Linked DNA regions of Saccharomyces cerevisiae S288C. The gene in region 3 interacts genetically with the main gene of each other region. Each region holds a gene or a part of one and is shown on either strand. Other genes may lie near its edges.

What was found.
Region 1: mutations in DET1 (region 3) and YOL159C-A together harm fitness more than expected from each alone (negative genetic interaction), as found in Saccharomyces cerevisiae (one large-scale study listed by BioGRID).
Region 2: mutations in DET1 (region 3) and YER187W together harm fitness more than expected from each alone (negative genetic interaction), as found in Saccharomyces cerevisiae (one large-scale study listed by BioGRID).

The regions. Positions count from the first base shown.
Region 1 is NC_001147.6:14,658-17,158, reverse strand, and holds YOL159C-A (uncharacterized protein), read left to right. Parts: upstream 1-1,653; coding exon 1,654-1,926; downstream 1,927-2,501.
Region 2 is NC_001137.3:564,243-567,200, reverse strand, and holds YER187W (uncharacterized protein), read right to left. Parts: upstream 972-2,958; coding exon 546-971; downstream 1-545.
Region 3 is NC_001136.10:556,384-559,579, forward strand, and holds DET1 (acid phosphatase DET1), read right to left. Parts: upstream 1,678-3,196; coding exon 673-1,677; downstream 1-672. Other genes in the region: triose-phosphate isomerase TPI1, read right to left, coding at 1-89; protein serine/threonine kinase activating protein DBF4, read right to left, coding at 2,128-3,196. UniProt on the Saccharomyces cerevisiae protein: Metal-independent, broad-range acid phosphatase. Involved, either directly or indirectly, in the bidirectional transport of sterols between the endoplasmic reticulum and the plasma membrane.

The DNA.
Region 1 (2,501 bases), on a different chromosome or scaffold from region 3:
ATCGCACTTTCGAGTTAATGTATGTATACACAACATCGAGGAACAACAGCATCTAGGGTTAATGACATTGTATTGTATACTTTCGTTGTGCTAGTGGTGGCGTGATGCAAGAAGCTGATACATACCTGAAAATGAAAGAGGACGTAGCTATACGGTGTTTGTGGACGAGTTCACATACAGTACTGAAAAAGATGAGGATGGGCTGAGATAAAGTTTGAATGATAATGAATATTATTACATCTTCTTTCATTTTATATACCGTCATTCATTATCCCATGAAATTATCAAGCCTCGCGTTTCAACCTCTACTAAAATCGTTGACTGTTTCTCAATATTTATGTCTTTCTTACGTTGTATACGATAATATACACGTACTATGGATACTAGTCGATATATGATAGTTAATTCTCATTCCAATAAAAGTCGACACTACCGCTACCACCTAAAGTTATACTGTTTTTATGCGTGCGTACGCAACAGTTCATCAGAAAAATGTCTATCGTCAGAATCATCCCTCTGACATTTCAATTCCAAAAAGATTGCTCTATCTTTGGAAAGTGGCTAAACCTAGGAGTATTATAAAACTCACAAGTTCTTAGAACTTGCTTCGAGAGATCATAACAGGACAAGTATAATACGAGACGGAATAAGATTATCATACCAAAGATACAAAATAAAACAATTGGTAGTCTAAGGTGACAAAATTAACTGAAGCTGTAGCTAGCAATAAAAAAAAGATTCAAGATGTTCAGGGAGTGACGTATATTCCAATGCTTCCAATACAGCAGGCTTCAAGATTGTTGCTTCACTTTCAGGGCGGTGATTTGAAAGCAAACTCCCAAATTTACACTTAATTCTTCTCCTGAGCTGTTCAATGCAAAATGCACAAATTGTTATTTCCCATATAATAATTCCAGTTGACAGCACTATATCTAAAGGTTTCCGTATAATGATGATTTACCGCGTAGTATCATATAAGGGAGTAACAACAGCATTAATTATCGTGCCATTACTAAAAATAACTTAAGCATCAAGCGTAAATTATTGAACTCCAAACTCTATCAAACACTTAAAATAAACCAATATTGAAGAAAATTCGCAATATGTTGTAAAGATTCTGCTGACTAGAAATGGCAGGTAGGATTTTTTTTTTCTATCTAAAATGGTAAGATGAGCATTTTTTACTTGGAACGAGTGTAAAAACAGCAAGGTTACAGCCACATAATTCTCTAATAATACTGATGGAAAGCCGTCTTATTCGGAAGCTGTGAGTATTTTTTTCGTTGATTTGTTGCCAAAAAAATCCATGCAGAAGTGTACTCACTGGTTTTCATTTACCTTTTCAGCAGCACACCTGCCTGCCCCTTATTTTTAACGATTTCTTTCCATTTAGCGTAACTGCTGCCTCGGATTATTATGGTGTTTTTCCACCAGCTCTGCTTAAAGCGTAGAGTTCGCTTGTCTTCTCCCTCCCATCAACAGGAATTTTATTGATCGCGTAATTTCCTACCGACAGTTTGCAGAATGCCAGGTCAGACAGATTAAATATTAAATGAATAGCCCCATAGAATAAGTACTATATATACGCTGCTAGTTTCTTTGTTTTGTCGAGTTTGGGACCAAACCAATACCATTTGTGGAATCACTGCACATATGCAATACTGTGAACTCGATTTATCAGGGCAGTGGCTGGATACAGTATATTGTGAAGAGAATTTCTCCGACTTTGTCTTTATAAAGTTTCTAAATCCTTCACAGTTTGAAGAGAAGATATATTGTTATACTTTACATATCACCAAAAGGACACTAGAAAATAAGAGATTACTTTTGTATTATGAAGATGAATTCAAAAAACATGGTCACGATATTAATGAGCTTGTTGGCGACGGTATAATCTTGCGTTCATGCTGGAACCCTCGACAGTAATCAGACCGAGATTCATGCGTATGCTAGCTCTGTTGTCGACTCAGTAAACTTACAGCAAACCAATGGTACTATCAATCTAATCATAACTGAATTCAATGGTACTACCATTGGCTTTGATACAAACGTTACCAAAATTAATATTCTTGACGCCGACTTTTCTTTTCTTCGCCAACAAGTCAACCAAGAAATGCTAAAAAGAGGAAAAGGGTGTCTTAACGCAAGGTATCGTATCTCGACTGGAGGTTGTACTGATTGCGGTAAATCGCTCGGCTATTCATCTGCACACAATTGCGGTGGAAAGGGCTATTCATGCATTAAAACGTGCACAGAGAAGAATGGTCATGTTTGCTGTGAAGAGTGGTGTGGATCCAAACGCGCTGTCCAAAAAGAGGGATTTGAGAGTGGATGCTGCTTTAATAATCAATGTTACGGTGGCCATGACCACCATGATGAGCTTTAAATAATAAAGTTTAGGTAATATATATAAAGTGGGATAGTATACAAGCAAGAACGTATTAAAATAAAAGCTGGAAAAAAAAGTCACCAAAGCACGCATCTATGTGATGGCTTATTCA
Region 2 (2,958 bases), on a different chromosome or scaffold from region 3:
TATTTTTTAGAGTCATTAGTTGGTGTAGTCGAATTCTAATTATAGAATTTAATTCAATAATAAAGATAACGCTATATCACTTGACAAGAACTTAGCATGTAACCAGATGAGTTATATTTGATAATACTTATTATTATTTTTCTGAGCTATGTCTGAACTATTAGCTTCCATAAAACCAATCAGCGCGTATGTGGTGTGGTGTGTGTTTTGTACCTTAGTTTTGTTTTTTTTATAAATGTATTCGAGTTATTGTTGAATGTGGTAACCCAAAAGCATGATATGAGTAATGTTTTAGTATTGTTTCAGAGTTGTTTCAGTAATGCTTGAGACAAGGAAAACATATAGTAGCAAACCTCTAATCCGGTAGTACTTAAGAAACTATAGTTTCTATGTACAAAAGCAGTAACTATGTAATTATTACATTTACATAACATATAGAAGGGTCCAATAAACTTACTACATTATGACATATAAACTAGATCGTAATTCACTACGTCAACAGTTCTTAATTTCGGGTCAGTCAATTCAGCGACAGGCGTAAAGCTTTATCGACCATCTCCAGTGTTCTGAGCACCGATATGCTCGTCATTACAATAATTATCTATACCACCGTAAGTGTTAAAATATATCTCAGACTTGAATGCCGAACCCGTGCCTGCACCGTCACCAGGTATGTCATCGTAATCAAGTGGCTCACCGTTTTTCGTGTCCTCAGCAGCAAAGCAGTATTTCCAATCCCTATTACCTGAAAAGAAATTCTGTAACTTCTCTTCAGCATAAGAATCAAAATTTCCTGCTCCACCTTCGTCATTCTGCCAGTTCTGTGCCAGGTCACCATAACTCTGACTATATGTCATTGATATCCATGAGGTGGCGAACTCTTGACTGCGTCTCTGTAACGATAGGGCCGAAGCGTTGCCACTTATATCAGGTACCCCTGGTACCGCTGCCACGATTTGATCGATGAGCATGCTCACATTATGTACGCTACTCGTGCTGATGTGGGTTCCATGCTCCGTAGTATACCCCACAAAGTTGATCTCAGCAGCACCGTCACGTTTAATAGTGTCATGTACTGCATACCCACTAAACTCTATTGTAACAAAATTACTACCAGTACCATTAGACAATGTTTGCCCATTGAGCACATGATCAGTGAGTGTTATAGTATGATTCAGTACATTAATAGTCTCACTTAACCCTCGCTTTGTTGCTGAGCCAGAACTCTTTCCCACTAAAACTGCTGCAACTATAACTGCTGAAGTTGCTAAAACAGCACCAGCTATAGGTGAACATATTCCGCTAGTGGATGCGATACAGGTTGCTGCGACCCAGTAAGGAGTAGCATAAGCGGCTGCAGCAATTAAAAATCCTCCTAGTCCTAATCCAGTCGCAAATGATCACCTAGCTCGCCGTACTAGAGCAGCAGTGTTGGCGCGGTCAGGTATAGCTCCAGTTCTAAGTGTGCTTAAAAATAATGAGTACGCTACCAAAAGCAGTGCAAAAATTATTGCAAACAATCTAACGATTCTAAACGTCCTTGTTGTCAAGTAATTTGGAGGGCTGCTATTCATGTCGTCTGTGTATGATCTATTCATTTTTTCATATATTTTTTTCTATTCTACATACATTATTTGGGATTACGATACAGTGTTCCAGAATTGTCACTTTATATAGATTTGTTACAATGCATGACACTTGCCAAAATAATCAAGCCCAATACCTAAAATTTGCAAGCGCGCCTTCAAAGAATGGCTCCCCGCTGATTTTTAAGAAATACTACTTTTATAAAAAATATCTCAAAACACCTTAGTTTTTTCCTATACACTTCTTCTATTGTTTAAAGGCCCTGACATTCTTGGTCTCCAGGCCGCTCAATATGCTTCGCACCACGGTAAAAGGCGGCTGCACATGTGGTAAGTCAACAAGGACTCTTTTCACTAATTAGCATGGTGTGCTATCACATGTCATCAAGCTTTCCATGAAATAAACCATTGATTGTAAGAGAACCACCCAACAAATCAAATCAAGATGCCAATCAAAGTTACAGACTGCGTCCTTTTTCCGCCAATTGATCTAAAACAAAATCTAAAGTCAGTAAACATAGAATTTCTGTCATTTTGCGTTTTTTCGACAAATACGCGCACTACCCTGAAATTATTATCATGAAGATTACTATATTTATATTTAAAGGTTAACCTCGAGTTCTATAATATTATGTCATACAAGCTCATTATGTTAGAAAGCGAGTTATGGAGGTTCAAGTTCAGATGCCTTGGTTTGGTTTACTAACTAATATTTGAAATTCTTGCTAAATATTTTCAGTACTCCAAAATCTGAATATTTCAGAATTTCATATCCAGACCCATTCTATGAGCCAAAGTAAACCCCGTGTACTTTCAAAAGCAATGCTACTCTTCCCAAAATAATATAATATATATATATAACTGATACATATAACGTGTTGGAGTCGTATAGTGTTACAGTCCATGATTATACTCACCTCCCAGTGTATTCGTTAATAGAACTACGTAATTGTAAGCCGCTGAAAAATAGCTGGTGTTGAAACAACGAAGACCTCACCTCGATGATACCAAAATTATTAAGAATAAATATAATGAAACTTGTTTGAAAAAGAGCGGGAGCTCTGCTAGATGGAAGAGTTGCGTACAATACTTTTTTTTGAAGATGAGAAAACACTGGCTAAGGTAAAGCAGGTTTCCTGTAAAAGCTGCTAAACCGTCTTTCACGGTTTTGTAATCAAAAAGGCTTCTTACTATCCTTTCCCAGAACGAAATCATACGCATATTTGCCCACATTGTTAAGAGTTTGAATCATTAAAGCAACAATATACTACTAGACCTCTATCTTCTTCAAACCAATAGGTTCTGCTGTCGTAAAAGCATTCTTTTATCAATAACTGTAAAATGTCGTTATGAAAGCCCTTCGTTAGTCTCT
Region 3 (3,196 bases):
GCAGTGTTCAATCTTTCAACAATTTCCTTAATGGATTGTTTGGAACCGTTTAATTTAAAGTTACCACCGACAAAGAAAGTTCTAGCCATTTTTAGTTTATGTATGTGTTTTTTGTAGTTATAGATTTAAGCAAGAAAAGAATACAAACAAAAAATTGAAAAAGATTGATTTAGAATTAAAAAGAAAAATATTTACGTAAGAAGGGAAAATAGTAAATGTTGCAAGTTCACTAAACTCCTAAATTATGCTGCCCTTTATATTCCCTGTTACAGCAGCCGAGCCAAAGGTATATAGGCTCCTTTGCATTAGCATGCGTAACAAACCACCTGTCAGTTTCAACCGAGGTGGTATCCGAGAGAATTGTGTGATTGCTTTAATTAATTTCGGAGAATCTCACATGCCACTGAAGATTAAAAACTGGATGCCAGAAAAGGGGTGTCCAGGTGTAACATCAATAGAGGAAGCTGAAAAGTCTTAGAACGGGTAATCTTCCACCAACCTGATGGGTTCCTAGATATAATCTCGAAGGGAATAAGTAGGGTGATACCGCAGAAGTGTCTGAATGTATTAAGGTCCTCACAGTTTAAATCCCGCTCACACTAACGTAGGATTATTATAACTCAAAAAAATGGCATTATTCTAAGTAAGTTAAATATCCGTAATCTTTAAACACTATGTAGTTAGGTCTCCCTCACAATCAGTCCATTTGGGTAGCACGGTCCTCAGGACGTATCTATTGATGGATTCGTCCAGTTCCATCACCATTACGCTCCCGTTAGGAACATTGGTAAACGATTCAAACTCTTCGTATGTCCATCTAAACCATTTCATCAGGAATACTCTGGAATAAATACCATGTGTAACTAGGACAACAACATCTCTGGGTCTTCTCTCTTGCCTATCATGGAAGTGCCTGAATAAAGTCTCTTGGAAACTGGCGACTCTGTCATATACATCTGCCGCACTTTCTCCATGAGGGAATCTGAAGAAGAAATGACCATACGTAGATCTCTTCTTCATAACGTCCTGCATGCTATTGATTTTTTGGAAATTACCAAAATCTTGTTCCCTTATTCTTGGCTCATCCTTAACCCGATATTGCAGATAACATTTTCCAGGCTTCCCTTCACAAATATTATCTTCATTATTTTCGTAAACACCACCAGTATTATTAAGTCCTCTCGGCCAAAATGCATGTTTCTGTTTACCATGTGGATCATATCTCATATCTTCACATATACGAACACCACTGTTTAATTCATTATATTCATCGATGACGTCCAAAATACCTTTCAATGTTTCCCTTGCTCTTCTATAGGGTGATGTATAAAAAACTATGTTTGTGTCTTTTTCTCTACTCAGCCTGGTATAGTCCTTCAGCGGTAAAGTTCTCCTGCTACTTTCATCTTTAATATACTTCTTAGCCAAATCCTCCACCAAGTTGTGATCGTCTACGTTTAAAACACGTAATAAGTCAATACCAGCTTGTCTAGCTTGGATTTGACCTGTTTTCGTTAAAGAAATCAGATGGTTAGGAATATAACCATTGACCTCCTTGTTTTTATTTGATTCGCTTTCCCCATGCCTTATTAGTACAATTAACCTAGGTCTGGCATTCGTAAAAGAACCGTGACTGCCAGCAACATCTTCACTAACATGAACATTCTCTTCACACATTTCTTTTACTAATACTCTGAGTTATTCAAATGGAATGCTGTAGCGTAAGTTCTTTTATGTTGAACCATGAATACGAGCTGCAATTAATGCAGTTGAGAACTAGCTTTTTTTTTTTCATGCCTCTCGGTCTCTGCAGGATATCGGGTAAAAATGAAAACTGGGACATTAACCGCGGTGGGTACTCGATCATTATTTGTTCAGAATGAGTTATGATATGAACGGTAATTAATCTAGATGATAATATATATATGTATATGTATATATATGCAATTGATAATATATGGACGAGTAAATAAGAGTTAAGTCAATAGCAAGAAAGTAACAAGGGTGAATGAGAAAGTGATTCAATAACATTGCCGTTGATAGCTTTTTTGTTCCGAGCAGCAATGGAAACGGAACAATACTATTTTGATTTTATCACTAAAAGCTACTGCACTTTACGTCGTGTCCCTATATTTGAAATCTGAGATTTTCAATTAACGAGTCAATAGCCTCAAAATTTAAATCGTTTTCAGCGAAAGACAAATGCTTCTCAGAAACTATGTGTTGTTCTAAAGATTCGTATTTTACACGACAATTTTCACAGTATCCGGAATTTTTTACCGTTTCTTTCTTCACCGGCTGTGCTGTCTGTGCTGTCTGTGCGTTAAAATGTAAGGTGACGTTTGTGGAAGTTGATTTCTTCGATGCTGTTGGAGATTCTGTGGTTGTTATCTTGATGTCATTATGAACTTTGGAGTCTGCGGAGACTGATTTGGTAGCTACCTTAGGGAAATTCTGGGGCTTTCTATTAGTTTCTAAGTGTACAGCACTATCTTTGCCCGTCTCTTTCGAAGGGGCTTCGTCTTTTTTCAAAGCATTAAAATCTAATCTGTGTCTATTTTCCTTTGATGTTTCAGCAGTAGTTGCTATAGTGGCTGTATAATTTTTGTTATTTCCATTTGTCTGCTTTACTCCCAGCTTTCTATCAACCATTAGTCTACTTAATGACTTCATGTTCTTACTCATGACGCTTGCTCTTGTTGGGCCCAAACCATTGCCAAAAGAGGTTGCCACATCATTAGATTGATGTGCACCACTTGCTTTGATTTCAAATGCCTGACGTGACTTTGTTTTCAAAGTGCACAAATCATCCGGCACTTCTTCAGTTTCTTGCCTTGCAAAAGTAGCTAATACTGGATGGTTTAGTTTTGGTGTGGCAGCCAGCTCTTTTCGCTGTGGGTACTTATTCGATTCTTCTGCTATAGATTGTTTATTTTCTTTTTCTTCTTTCAACGGAGGCTCTTTGGTTTCAGTTTCATTTAATAATATACTATTTTTTTCATCGGTTTGGTCAGCATGTTCATTACGAACATCTTGAACTGCGCTATCATCCGTCTTCTTTAACTCGGTCTTCTCAAAATTTTTTGCCTTTTCTTGCATCCATTTTTTGAAGCTCTTGGTAGAATCGTTGCATGTGTGAGGTATGAATATTAGGTTTTTCGTTTGATCATTAACTGATGACGTATTCAGTAAGGTG